Arabidopsis thaliana: one gene and its partner. The protein of the gene in region 1 interacts with the protein of each later gene in a pairwise test. Each region holds a gene or a part of one and is shown on either strand. Other genes may lie near its edges.

Region 1 (8,578 bases):
GTCGTTCGACACCGATCACTTCCGCGCGCTGCTCATGATGGTGTCGATCGACACCCAGTTGGTGTCGCTCGACACCGAGCCCTGCTGCGTCTCTAGCAGCTAATTGTGCATTGAGGCGCGCCTGATCCTCATTAGCGTCCTCAGGTATGATGATTCCATGATCATCCAATCTCTGACCAGCCTCATTGTAGGCTTGCCCATCCTTATCTCTCAAAATTCCTTCTGCATCAGCTCGGATGACTCTGTCAGCCATTGCTAATTTCTGAGTTTTTCGTTTGGTGCATTCAAGTTTTCCCAAGTCCAGAACAGACAAGTTGATAAGCTCCTTCTGTTTTGTGCTCCTTGTTTGCCTAGGCATACACCTGAAACACAGAAAAGAAGAAAACAAGAAACGCGTGAGTAACAAAATAGAAGTAAAAACTAGACAAAATCTCTAAACTAAACTCAATGATGATTCCCAAGAACTTCGGCAACGGCGCCAAATTTGATATGGTTCAAATTACCTAGAACTACTCTCTCAAATAAGAGATCAATTGCAGTATTTTAGGATCGAATTCAAGGAGTTCTTTTGTTCAAACAGTGAGTTAAATATCGAGATTAAGCTAGCAGGGTATGTGTGAAATATTAAGAAAACAAAATAAGAAAACAGCAGATTGATTGTGTTGTAAACGATTAGGAAAAGAGCTAGGAACAGGGTATTCTCAGGAAGCTATTGGTTAGTAGATCTAATGAAAGCTAGGTTGTTATCGAACCATTCTTAAACTCAAACTCTAATTATGGAATAACCGGTGGGCGTGCCGCGAAACTCCCTATATCTATAGCTAATAGTGACCGGAGAAGCCGAGAGACTATCAACCTAAATATGCATTCTTAACGAGTTCAATTGTTCATCTTAGTAAATAGGCCGATTCTTATTACACACCTATAGACCAAACTGATCAAATAATAGATTCAACTACAAATACCTATGGCGGACATATCTATTGTCTGGATTCAAGATCTAGTTAATTACTCTAGATATAACATTAGGTATAATTAAAGATGAAGAATTCTACAGATAACTTAGCAAAGGGGGCAATATACTAAACCATATGAATCCCTAATGAGAAACCCTATTCCTAACAAGCAGATTACTCAGACATATTGAATGAAACAAACAACATAATTGAGATAAAAAAGCATAAACACAATGAATAGAGAAGGGGAAAGAAGGGATCTCTTCACTGTATATAGATCTGAATGAAACTCTGAATAACAATGGATGAATAGCTTATGTCTCTTACAATAGGGTTTGCAAAGAACTTGATAAAAGACTTGATAAATGAAACTTAGGTCTAAAAACAATATATATAGACCCTAAAAACGTCCAGGGACTAATAATGCAAATAGGGAAATCTTCTGGGACAAAGTTGAGCTTCTGGAAACTCGAAAGCGTCTAGGGTTTTTGCTGGGCCGAAACTAGTGTCGATCGACACCAAGAGTGTGTCGGTCGACACTCGTTGCTGATTCTTGAACCAAAGTCGTCCTTAGCTTCCTTTTCGTTAGTTTTTGCTACAAAATGTTTCCTTATCTCCAATATTGTCTTATTGCATAAAATACCTGAAAAGACACTAAAAAGACACGAGAAATAACGTAAAGAGTCAAAATAGGGTTAGACTTGGCTATGAAACCTCTTGGAGACTATTCTTGTTTTGTATAACCTGTGTGAGCACCCAATATCCAGAATTGACAGTATAGCCTCCGAATTAGGGCTGAGCAGAGAGCAGATATCCGGGATTTTGGTGTTGTTTGTGATTCGATTTGCTTTATCAGAATACTTATTTTTTTTTTTTTGTATTTGCTTTGAGAGAGACCAAATATTCGGTGGTTTTGAATATCCGTTAAAATCTAAACCATTTAATTATCATATATCGGATTTGTTAAATATTTATTTTAAAAAAATATAAAAATATAAAATTTAATCCAAAAATAGTAAAATTTTATCAAAAATAGTAATATTTTATATTTCTCTTTTCAATGTTAAAACTAGTAGTTCAAATAATTAATTAGGTGATTAGAAAATTATAATTAAATTGAGTAGAATAACGGATCAAAGCGAATCTAACAAATATTCTATCTAGTCGTACTCCAAACTTGGTATAATCCCAAGTATAGGTATCTTGTGTATTTTTTTTCCTGGCATTTAGATCCCCGTTGAAAATGGTCAAAGCCAAAATTCTTTCGATTATCTTTTTTTTTGGTCACTTTTGAATTTTTTTATAAATCCATCATTTCCAATAACTTTTCAACGGGCAATATTGTAAAAGAAAAAAAAACAAGTTGAATTATATAGACTTCAATTAAAGTGGCTTTGACCTGAATTATAGAAAATATCTTGACTATACTTTTTAATAGATGATTAGAGCAGCAGATTTCTTTAAAATATGAGACAAATAGAACTTAAACCCATCGATGTGTGTACACAGTTACAACAAGCCAGGAACTATAAGAACCAACTATAATTATACATTACATGATATAGATACAGACATACATACACTATAATTTAACAAAAAAAACTAAACAAAACCTATACACCCAAAAACCCCAAGGTCGACATTTCTAATTCCTAGAAAAATAAGGCTCTTCAGTTTTAAAATCAAGCCCAACACATAACTTGCAACAAATAACCAACGAATGACACAGAAACTAAGTAAGTTTGGCTCTTGCTGCGCAACCCGACCGCACGTGTGTGTGTGTCGAAGAATCATGTCTCGTGTCTCCCAATAGTTTCTCTGGGATCTAATCTCTCATAAATCTTCGGGTTATGCCTGCTTTTGTACATTAGGACATCAATGTTAGAAGAATATATAGCTTTTGTTGATTCTGATAATATCCTCATGAAAAAAGCAACTAAATACTTCACCTATTGAGGAAATTTACTAAAATTAGCCTCATCTACGGAGAAGGGGAGATGCTGATCCCGAGCCTCCTGAACCCACGGATGGTAAGGGTCTTCTCACAAATGGATGGTTCAGCAGTTCAGCTGCAGTTGGCCGCTCTTCCGGGTTCACTTTAAGACACTTAAGTATGAAAAGCCGAGCATCTAGTGATAACGTATCAGGTACTTCCGGAAGAGTACCCCTTCCGATCCTAAACAGGGCTTGAACCTGCGCGTTTGCACAAATTCTGACTTTTAACTCATAAAATCCCATAAAGTAGACACTTCAAATGTCGTTTAAGATTATTAAGACAGTTCAAAAGTTTGAAAATCTTGAAGACTTACGGGTTCGAGATCAGAGTAGGGGATCTGACCAGTACACATTTCCAGCACAGTGCACCCGAGGCTCCATATATCAGCTGGACTTCCATAGCCATCACTATCCTTTCGGTTAATAACCTGATCAAATGATTATGTTCTATTTAGATATAACCATACAAGTATAGCCTCAAGTACAATGAAAGTGAAATGAATCCACATCTGTTACGTACGATTAACATACATACTTACAATTATCAAAAACCATTAACTGATATAAAGAAAATTTCACCAAATATTTGAAGCAAACATAACCAGGAGTTTTTGAGGTTATAAAGCCCAGACCAGAACATTTCTATTAATGTAAATCACTGGGAAAGTTTCCCAAAACCATACCTCTGGAGCCATCCAAAATGGAGTTCCCTTGCAGGACTTAATGTCGTTAAACTTTGAAACCTAAATAAAAAAAAATGACAAACATATCAGGGTACTAAACGATGGACCAAGTAATTACTTTAGAGCAAAGCTATAAATATCTATTTATGGAAAAAAACCTTTGCCAATCCAAAATCTGCAAGTTTGACGGCGCCATTAGCGTCCACCAATATATTTGCACATTTGATGTCCCTTTGTTGCATAAAATGATAAAAATAAGTAACCCATGAGATGCAGGAAATTAGATAGATGCTTGGGAATTACAGCTGTACCAAGAGAGTTTACTAGTCTAACCTGTGAATAAAACCTTTATCGTGGAGATATTTCAAACCGTCAAGAATCTGTCTAGTGTACAAGGAGACTACAGAGTCCCGAAGCTGGTATCTTTGGTAGAGTTTTAGAAGGGACCCTTGGGTTACAAGCTCAAGAAAAATGTACAAGTTTGACCCATCCTGAAAACAGCGAAATGAGTTATTATTGCACAATGAAATAGTTAGGCAACTGCAACTAAGAAAAAGAAAGAGAGAACAGGACCACACCTTGGCTGTGCCACGATATCTCACAATATTCTGATGCTGAAGCTGACTAAGTAGTTTAATCTCCTGTAGAAAATGAAAAATATGGCAAAGGTAAGGTGGATTAGCAACCTACTTTTGACTGCTCCATGAGATAATGACAGAAGTGATAAATGCTACGGATCATTGACCCATGTATATGAAACTTCCATTTCCATACCCCCTCAAGTTGTTGTATGCATTCTTGTGCCTGACTTCCCTGATCAAGAAGTGAAACTTCCTTGACAGCAAAGAAGTCCCCATCTCTACATATAACATAAACATCCATTAGCCAAACGCATAATGGAAGACTCGTTTGGACCACATTTGTCAGCCGACTACTGTAGTATTCCTCATTGAGTGTCTACTTTTTTAAAACATCATGCGACTAAGTATCTGATTTCAAGTTCAACAAACACAAGCAACCAGTAAGACTTACCCAGAAATGCCTTCATACACAGAACCAAATGATCCTCGTCCCAAAAGTTGACCCTTTTGCCAAGACGTTATGATAGCTCCTCCATCTGGATAGATAGGCGAAGTATTGGATACTGTGCTTGAGGAGTCACCCTCATTTGTAGTGAATGAGCACGTCTCGTCAGCCGTATCCCCCAACTGGATAAACCTAGCTCCCATCTCTTCCGCTTCCGCTTCCTCTTCCTTGCCTTCCTCTTCATCGCATCCATCCTCGGAAGAAGAAGAAGAGGAACTCGGCCGCTTAACTGTTTCACTTGGAGCGAAATGCGTCAGGAAATCCCAAGACGATCCCCGATGATCAATAGGGGGTCGTTTCATAGCCGGAGGAGGCTTAAGTACTGGTGGTCTTAGCCCCTTAATACCACCACCAACACCAACACCAACAGCCACTACATTATTTGGTACAAGATACCCTTTCGACTTCACAATAGTTGGTGTTCTTTCCATAACACGCCTATTCTCTACCACACCATCAGCTACTAACCTATCCACAGGAGTGATTAAATTCCCAATCTCACTCAACTCAGTAACAATTCCACCACTAGGACCTGCTTCACTCAAATCCTGACCCTGAACCTTATGATTCATTGAATCAGAACCAACAACAACACCACTAGGACCTTCTTCACTCAAATCCTGATCACGAACCTTATCAAGATCAAAAGACTTAAACCTATTAACAACATCTGAAGAAGAACGTTTCTTACAAGCTTCCCAAGCATCAAAAGAAATAGCCAAATCATCAGGACCAGAAACACCAAGAGACCGATAAATCCGATCCATCTCTCCAACACCACCACCGATTCGGAAACTAGTAGGCTCCGGAAACTCCAAAGAGCGAGTCATCAACGAAGAAGTCGAAACGGAAAGATCTTCAGCTGACGAACTAGAACATGAAGCTGCGTCGTAATTGATATTCCTCGCCGCATCGCGACGCTCTAACCGCCGTACCGGAGTAATATTCTTATCTCCTCCTCTTCGTCCAGTTGATTTCTTCATACGAGCTAGAATTCTGTCCATAACCAGCTCAAATCCATACGCTATTTACAAGTTCCAAGTCAAAATTGAAGAGAATCGCACCTCTTACTTGGCTTCAATGGAGCTTGGAATTGGAAAATTTTCCCGAGAAAAAAAACTCGCGGGAGTGAAGAAGACCGAGAAATTTGGGCAAAACCTGACGGCGAAGAGAGAGATATGAGAGAAGAGAGAGAGAGAAAGAGAAGAAATGTAAACAAAAACGCGGTGTTTCGTGGAATAATCGGAGACGAAGCATTGTTTCGGCGTTTTTGATTGTTCCATGAGAGTCTTTACTTTTTTTGTTTACGCGTTCACTTACTGGGCTTTTTAATTGGGCTTACAATTGTTGGGCTTCTTAAGCTTTCAGTTTGGAGTTTTGAGTTGAATATATTAATTATGTAGACTTGAGTTTGTTGTTTTAAAAAATACAAAATAATCTTATGAAATCTAAAATAGCCTATTTTGCAATTTTATATATATTGTAAATGTTTTCACGATTACATACATTTGTTTTTAAAACTTTTAAAGATATACTTGAACTCTTCATCTCGAGGTTCCGATTTAATATATTATTTATCAAAATTTTAAAATTTGATAGTAACGAAAAATCTATATTGTGTATTATTTTGAAATTCATATGATATTTTGCATTTTTTGGATCTGAAGAATAAAGTTGTAAAAATAGACGAGTTTGAGGATTTTTTTGCATAAAACCCTTTTAAAAAGTAGAGTTTAGATGGTTTTAAGGTGTTAAACTTAAAACATGTGTAAACTTTAGAATCCGTGGACGAGGCATACACCGCTTTACTATAGGACGTGTTAATATATTTTTAACTTTTAAGTACAAAAGAAAATAAGTGTCGTGGATTAGTTAATCGATGTAGTAGAGTATTGCGAGTTTGATTGTGTGTTTTGCAGGGTTTTGATAGAGGTAAATAAAAAATCTGTTAAACATACAAAAGTTAGAAGTAATATAGTTAACCTACGAAAAGATTGTAACTAAATAAACATATTACTATAAATTATACAACATATAACAAATAGAAAGATTACTTCGATAAACCTAAATAGAGCAAAATTTTCTACCGCTTACTTTTCGTACAATTTTTGAACTTTAACATGGACAATGTCTAAGCAAAATTTTGTTTTGTTTAATTGTTTTTGTTGAAAAGATGTAAATAAAAATTGCATGCCCAAAACTCGTCTACAAAATCAAAGCAATTTTTTTTTACTTTTGCCCATCAAAGAGCATAGTAATGTATCAAACTTATTTTTATATATAGATATAAAGATTTAATGGGTAAATTGCTTTAGAGATCGTGTGTGTGAAGAAGCAATAATCATATATTATTTTAATCATCTTACGAAGAGTTAAGTGTCAGGGAAGAAGTTTGTTCTCATTCGCTCAAAATTGGAAACACTTATGTTGGTTATGTTAGTTATGATTTTTTGAGGGATATATTGCTTAGATTTCGAAACGAATTGGGTGAAGTTATTGAGTAAATCGTTTAGCTAGATTAGTTCGTATCATGTATTGATTTTAATTTGTTTATGTAATCTCTTCTCATCATTATTGGGTAGCAAAAATAAAGCTTTTCTTTTAAAAACAACAACTTCTGGCTACAAACAAAATGTCAATATCCAATTAACAAAATTATCTAAAACTAAACTGAAAATTGTAAATTCTAAACAAAAATTCTTAAACCAAATCACTTAGACTTCACTTTAGTAACCTTTAATTAATAAATAATATATCTATATTTAGTTCTGGAAGAGTCAGCCTTTTATTTTAAAAATCTAAAAATTTGTCTCCTAGTCATCCTTTTATAGGAAGAAAATACTAAATTTCTTTATTCAAATAAATACTATAACAAAATATTAATATTTTAATGTATAATTTGGTAATATATTTAAAATTCAGACACATTGACATTATAATTAGGCAATTTGGTACCATGTTAATGAAATATTAATGTTGATTAACTATTTAGGCTAAAATTCAATTAATATTTGGTAAAAATACTTATTAATAATTGTATTACATAATCTGGTAATATATTTATGATCACTAATGTCTATTAACTAATTATAGTAAATTATTTATCAAAAGATATTAAAATTAATATTTAGATATCTTACTTAAATAATAATATTTTTCTTTTTAAAATTGATCATATCAAAAAATAGTGTACTTTACAAGTAACTTATATGATATGTGTAAAAAAGTAAGAAAATTGATAACTTAGCTAAAATTGGTCATATACATTGATCAAGTTGCCATATATATTCCAAAGGGCGTGAAACAGTTTCTCATAGTTAACTAGAAATTTCACTTAAACATATGCTAAGTATTTTTTACAAGTAACTCATTTTCTGTTCGTTAAAACCGTTAACTCTCTTTTCCCGCGAAAATTCAACTAAATCCTCATTTTCGTACGTTAATACAGGTAAATCTCTTTTCGTTCATGTAAACTAGTAAATCTCTTCTCGTTCGTAAATAGTCTTAAACCTTTTCCGTGGCACGAAAGTCTTTTACGTAGGTAAACATAGTCAGATAAATACAATTATTTTTTTCTTTTTTTTTTCTTTTATATATATAGAAACAACTTTAGAAGTAATAAGTTTTCTTGCAATTATTCTAATTCTGAATTTATAATAGAAAAAAAAATACAGTTATGAACTTTGATCATTGTCTTTGTTCCAAAAATTTAACTTGTACACAAATAAGGAAAACCTAATATAACAGAAAAAATATATATAAACTTCTTTTCTGTTCGTTAAAACTGTTTTATTCTCTTTTCCTGTAAGAGTTCAACTAAATCCTCATTTTCGTACGTTAATACAGGTGAATCTCTTT
Region 2 (6,376 bases), 7.0 Mb from region 1:
CATTTTCCTACTTTACTAATTTATTGCTGTTTTTAGCGAGTCCAATTGGCTACTGATATTTGGCATAGCAAATTATATTTTTTTTTCATTCTACTAAAAATACTGTGCAGCGTTGACACACACACACAAAATACTGTTGCGTAATTAGAAATAAATGCGATACTTAATGCCGTAAAGTTTACAGATCATACAAAAAAAATCTTCTTGGTTTTGTAATGAAGCAATGCAGAAATAATATGTCAACTTACGTCATTATCTTGTGAGCTGATTCAAAGATTTCAAGAGTTATGTTTTGGATGCAAATATGTCAAATTACATAATTTCAGCTGATTCTATGAAGTGTAAATACAAATTTAGGGTGCAAAGTGCCAAGATTCATTTTATAAGGATGAATGATGAATGAGATCCAAATAATAATAATAATACAATGAATGAATGACGCAAAAGAGAGTGACGCCATTATAAAAATTAAAATATCATTTGGAGTACTAAAACTAGAAAACAAAAAAGAATGATAAAAGGGAAAATCCACGCGGAGAGAGGTTTGAAATGTCTTCGGTCCAATCCTGTCCTTTTGAATATTGATTTTCTTTTTGATTTTTCTTGCTTTTTATTAATCAACAAATCTGTTTTTTGGAATTACGTTTTTTCTACGTTGAAGTGATTTTTTTTCCTTTTGTAAAAGGCCTACGTTGAAGTAAAATTACATAAATAAATGTATGTTATGAATATCGACCCAAAAAACAAATTATTTCTACACTATACTTTGCGCAAATCAAATCTATCGAAAACGATTTTGGTAATCCCATTCCCATGAGTGAGTTTTGACCCAAAACAAATTTAAAAAAGTAACCATTTCATTAGTAAAACGGTAAATATGGTTCATAAACCTTTTAGTGGTTATTGGTCCTGTACACTACACTCGTGTGTGTCAACTTCAGCTATGAGATTTTTGCTGTAACTTTTTGGATAACGGTTCAATTATTACAAAGGTTATTTCTTACGTATGAGAGGTCCAAATTACAATTGAATAATATTTGATGACATACAAAGTTAAAAAGGATTAATCATAAGAAATGAATGTTGGAATGGAATGCATCTATCGATCTGACTACTTTAGATAGCTTGATGTTGGACTTAGTCAGCAAAGACCTTATCATACTCTTGTTGTATTGTATATATCGTATCACACAGTGACTGGTTTTTTCTACTTTTCTCTTTGGAACATATCAATCATTATGTATAAATAAATTTTGTCCAAATTAATGGCCATTTGTCTCAACCATAAATAAATATTTATTCACACACCTATATGACTATTTGAGATAATTCCATGGTGACTTGGTCAGCAAAAACCTTGTCATACTCTTGGTGTATTATCACATAACTTTGTAGATTATATTCTTATGGAACATATCATATATATTTGTCCAAATTAAACCCATTTGTATTATTTTCCCCTCTCGAGTTTAATATTTCTTATTTAGAAACAGTTAACAACTTGACATAGCTCACATAATCACTCACAGACTATATATGTATAAGCAACTACCATTTTAAATATTATTTAGTTATATTGTTAGACTGCAACTATTATTTATTTTCTTTGCCAAACAAATTTATATTTTTTCATGTTAATACAATATTATATCTTGAACAAATGTATGCTTAAATATATTGACACAAAACAAAAACATATAGGGGTTTTTAGGAAGAAATTTTGTACAGATTAATTAATCCTCATCAGATTTTTATTTTATATCTTATTTTTAGAAGTGTATGATTTTAAAACTAGAACAATCAAATCTTAGTAAATTTCATTCAACATAATTTTTATGTTATTGCTAATCTATTGAATGTTAATAAGAATTGTATTATACCAAATTACCAATATGTGTTTTGATACTTGTACTTAAAACAGAATGTGGAATATCCTTTCCCTTATTAATGATATTAAACATCATTACAATTCATAGTTATAGCAATGAAATATTATCCATAGAAAGGTTGTTGCATAATGCATACTAGTAAAGCATCAACCAACATATTTTGAAAATATTCTTAATCAAATAAAAAACATATATTGGAAATTCTTTAACAGTAGAAAAAAACATATAATAATAGAGAATCTTAATCACATGTACAAAGTCGTAGTTTTGAAAGTGTACATTGAAAGAGACAGTTGTATAACCCTTTGTTGTCTAATTATATAATTAACCCACTATAGTTAAATAAATGATAAACTTGGTTACAACTACATTAACAAAATTGAAATGTTGAATTGGTCAGCCTTTGACCTTATACTCTTTCACTACCACCACCCCACTTATCAATTACACTCTGGCCCTATACTTCCTTATACCAAAGACTTTTCTTCAATTTGAAAGTTTTGTCTCTCTTTTAAAAAGAAATAAAATAATTATTTATGGTTTGGTCATTTGGTCAAATTTTCAAACACTGAAAATCCAATGCCTTTATATACCAAACCAACACTCATCCATTTTTATCACCAATCCTATAACACTCTCATTCTCATCATATCATTCTTCAATCTATATAACCCATTCTTAATTATACTCAACACACATTATATTTTTCTGATCATATCATTCTTTCAGTCCATCTATATAACCAATTCTTGATTTATACTTAAAACACACATTATACATCTTTCTCATCATAGTTTGTATCAATTTCCTAGAGTAAACTACCTAAAGGAAAAAAAAAATCTATTTTGGGAATCATATACTAAAAATGGAAGGAAGAGATATGTTAAGTTGGGAGCAAAAGACATTGCTAAGCGAGCTTATCAATGGATTTGATGCGGCCAAAAAGCTTCAGGCACGACTTAGAGAAGCTCCGTCGCCGTCGTCATCATTTTCATCACCGGCGACGGCTGTTGCTGAGACTAACGAGATTCTGGTGAAGCAGATAGTTTCTTCCTACGAGAGATCTCTTCTTCTGCTAAACTGGTCATCCTCACCGAGCGTACAACTTATTCCGACGCCGGTTACTGTAGTCCCGGTGGCAAATCCCGGCAGTGTTCCAGAATCTCCGGCATCGATAAACGGAAGTCCGAGAAGTGAAGAGTTTGCCGATGGAGGAGGTTCTAGCGAGAGTCATCATCGCCAAGATTACATTTTCAATTCAAAGAAAAGGTAACAAATTGTTGATATCTTTTTTCACAATTCACCAAATTGAATTTAAAAATCTCATTTTTTCTAGAAACTAATTTGAAATTTGGGTAATTTTTGCAGAAAGATGTTACCAAAGTGGTCAGAAAAAGTGAGAATAAGCCCAGAGAGAGGCTTAGAAGGACCTCAAGATGATGTCTTTAGCTGGAGAAAATATGGTCAAAAAGACATTTTAGGCGCCAAATTCCCAAGGAGTTATTACAGATGCACACATCGTAGCACACAAAACTGTTGGGCAACGAAACAAGTCCAGAGATCAGACGGGGATGCTACGGTTTTCGAAGTGACGTACAGAGGAACACACACTTGTTCGCAGGCGATCACAAGAACACCACCATTAGCCTCGCCGGAGAAGCGACAAGACACCAGAGTCAAACCAGCCATTACCCAAAAGCCAAAGGATATTCTCGAGAGTCTTAAATCCAACTTAACCGTTCGAACCGATGGGCTTGATGATGGTAAAGACGTTTTCTCGTTCCCTGATACGCCGCCGTTTTACAATTACGGAACTATCAACGGCGAGTTCGGCCACGTGGAGAGTTCTCCGATCTTCGACGTTGTTGACTGGTTCAATCCAACGGTCGAGATTGACACAACTTTCCCCGCGTTTTTACACGAGTCGATTTATTATTAATTAAAATTTGTAACAGAGAAATAGATAGTAACTAGTAAGTAATGATCAGCGAGAGTTAAAACATAAAAGTACTTAGAGTAATCTAACGATGCATAATAAGGAATGTTCAACAGGACTTGAACATGATTTCAATACTAAGAGAGATTTATCTAGCTACTGGTAGTAGCCGCAGACTTCTTGTTGTAAGCTTCCACTTCCTTTTTGTATGCTTCCATCAGTTTTGCGGCCTTTCCGTTGTAAACTTGCTTCTCTTCTTCACTCAATTCCTGCAAAGACGTATTCGCACAGATAGATTAACAACAGGAAATTGTTACAAGCCAATGTGTTTTGTTGCTAGTAATTGTGATTTTTCATACCTTCCATTTCAGTGAAATGAGAGCAGTAACAGTAGCGTTGTTTGTCCCGGGACGTTCTTCTGTCAATTTCTTCCTTTCGTCCTTGCTGTAAAAACATGATAAGTTAGGAACTTTCTATAAAGACCAATTCGGATTATAACTTGAAGTAAGTTCATACCTGAAGAGAAAGTATGAAGAAGCAGGCTTCTTTGGTTTGTTAGGGTCAACGTTTTCGTTCTTCTTCTTCTTGGTCGCCTTCTCCTTCTGCAAGAGACAAATAATTATGATCCTGTGAGTCTCTGAGTTGAAATAGACCTTGGTGAGTTAAGTGTGAGTGAGAGAGAGTTATTACCTTGATCAGATTATCAGTTTTCTCCTTCTTCTTAAGCATTTGAAGAGCTTCTTGTTTGTGGAGTTTCAAGAGTTCCTCTTCTTCTTTCTTCTGACTCAGGGCTTCTTCTTCCTTTGTCCTCTTGTATTCCTCCATTGCTTGCAGGTATGTCTCCTTGTTCTTCTTTGCCACCTATTTAAACAAGAATACCTCAATCATTCAGTCTTAAGTCTTTAATGGCAGTGAAATGCAAGCATATTTGTATGGAAACAGACCTTCTCGTAGGGTGCCTTTTTCTTGTCTGACAAGTTCTTCCACTCCTCTCCAGTGATCTTTGCGACCTATAACCACATTTAAACTCCATAAGTTAGCTTCACAATTTGACAAAAACTGATCTGGAGAACGAATTAAGTAATTAGATTTACCTCCACGACGCTTTTGTTTTCTTCGCGTAAAGCAGCTCTCCTCTCGTTTGCATAAACAAGGAAGGCAGATACGGGATGTTTTGGCTTCAGAGGGTCCTTCTCCTTCCTGCAAACCATAAACAGCTCTAGTTAGTTTACTATTGATGATCAAATTGATATAGTCACTAAGACTTTTGGTTTTTACTTGTTCTTCTTCTTGTTGTCCTGTTCAGCTTCCTGGACAAAGTTGAGATACTGATCAAGCAATTCCATTGCAGTTCTCTGCTTCTGGTCATCCTCCAGAAGCTTCATGGCCTCCTTCTCGCGCTTCTCCTTAGCAATGACCTGGAGGTAAGCTTCTTTCTCAACCTGGTACCTTTCCTCGTAAGGCTTCTTATCTTCTGCACTAAGAGACTTCCATTTAGCCCCCAGAATGTTCGAAGTCTCCTTGAAGTCAGCCTCAGGGTTTTCCTTCTTGACTTCAGTCCATTGATCTTTACACCACAAAACGTATGAGGACGATGGTCGCTTTGTCTCAGGACAATCCTTTTTCTTCTTCTTATTCGCCTTTTCTTGCTCAGCCTGTGTGAGAGATGACTGACCGCAAGCAAAAGTCTGAAGAGCAAAAAACACAAAACACTCTCGAATCAATATCCAGAAACCAGTAAATATTTTCTCATCATCAACAACAGATAACAAGGAATTGTCAATTGAAATGAACATATCACTATATTAGCAACTGTGTCAACAACAAACGCATCATACACTAAACGAGAACCAATCCTGACTCTGACTTAGATTCTAATCTCTAACCTATGAATCTATGACGAAACTTTGATCAACTATCAAAACAAAATCTCAAATGATCAATAACACATTCGGAATAAGCATAAACCAGATATATTCCAACCTAATCTAAACACCTAGATCTAGAAACTGACTATCAAGCCAAAATCTGAAATGATCAATCAATAAATTCCAATATAATCACAAAACCCAGCCAAATCGAGAACTAAAAGCTAGATCTAGAGATTATACCATGTTAGGTTTGAATTCCTTCATCTTCTGAAGCTTCTTCAGCTCCACCTTGAGCTTCTCCTGCTCAGCGTCTCTGGTCTCTAGCTCCTCCTCCTTCTTTCTCAGAATCTCATCCTTCTCCTTAAGTAACTCCTCCGTCTTATCCTTCTCGATCTTCATCTTCTCCAACATTGTCTGCATCTCCATCAGATCTTGCTCGAAAGACTTCGCTGACTTCCCCTTGACGGAGACAGGCGATGGTGGCGTCTCCACGAGCTCATTCTTCTGCTTCAACGCCTTTCTACTGTTCCTTGGTTTCTTCGTCGGAGCTGGATCTGCGTTGGTCGCCATTTCTAAAGTCGAAAATGAGAGAGAGTGAGATTTCGAAATTTAGGGATTGAGAATTTTAGGTGGAGCCTCCGTAAAATATCTTCGGGGTTATATAGAAAGAAACACAACGG

The links. The genes of interacting proteins can lie anywhere in the genome.
Region 2: the proteins of MEKK1 (region 1) and WRKY53 interact in binary tests that used the Arabidopsis thaliana proteins (3 or more experiments, as listed by UniProt).

The regions. Positions count from the first base shown.
Region 1 is NC_003075.7:5,401,339-5,409,916, forward strand, and holds MEKK1 (MAPK/ERK kinase kinase 1), read right to left. Parts: upstream 5,983-8,578; 5' UTR 5,725-5,982; coding exon 4,667-5,724; intron 4,494-4,666; coding exon 4,409-4,493; intron 4,276-4,408; coding exon 4,213-4,275; intron 4,126-4,212; coding exon 3,968-4,125; intron 3,866-3,967; coding exon 3,793-3,865; intron 3,695-3,792; coding exon 3,635-3,694; intron 3,380-3,634; coding exon 3,266-3,379; intron 3,150-3,265; coding exon 2,934-3,149; 3' UTR 2,906-2,933; intron 2,811-2,905; 3' UTR 2,333-2,810; downstream 1-2,332.
Region 2 is NC_003075.7:12,390,118-12,396,493, reverse strand, and holds WRKY53 (WRKY family transcription factor), read left to right. Parts: upstream 1-2,511; 5' UTR 2,512-2,754; coding exon 2,755-3,158; intron 3,159-3,257; coding exon 3,258-3,828; 3' UTR 3,829-3,977; coding exon of another isoform or gene 3,978-4,094; 3' UTR 4,095-4,124; downstream 4,125-6,376. Other genes in the region: 3xHMG-box2 (HMG (high mobility group) box protein), read right to left, coding at 3,978-4,094, 4,185-4,269, 4,342-4,427, 4,516-4,686, 4,770-4,835, 4,920-5,025, 5,104-5,513, 5,937-6,266. UniProt on the Arabidopsis thaliana protein: Transcription factor. Interacts specifically with the W box (5'-(T)TGAC[CT]-3'), a frequently occurring elicitor-responsive cis-acting element. May regulate the early events of leaf senescence. Negatively regulates the expression of ESR/ESP.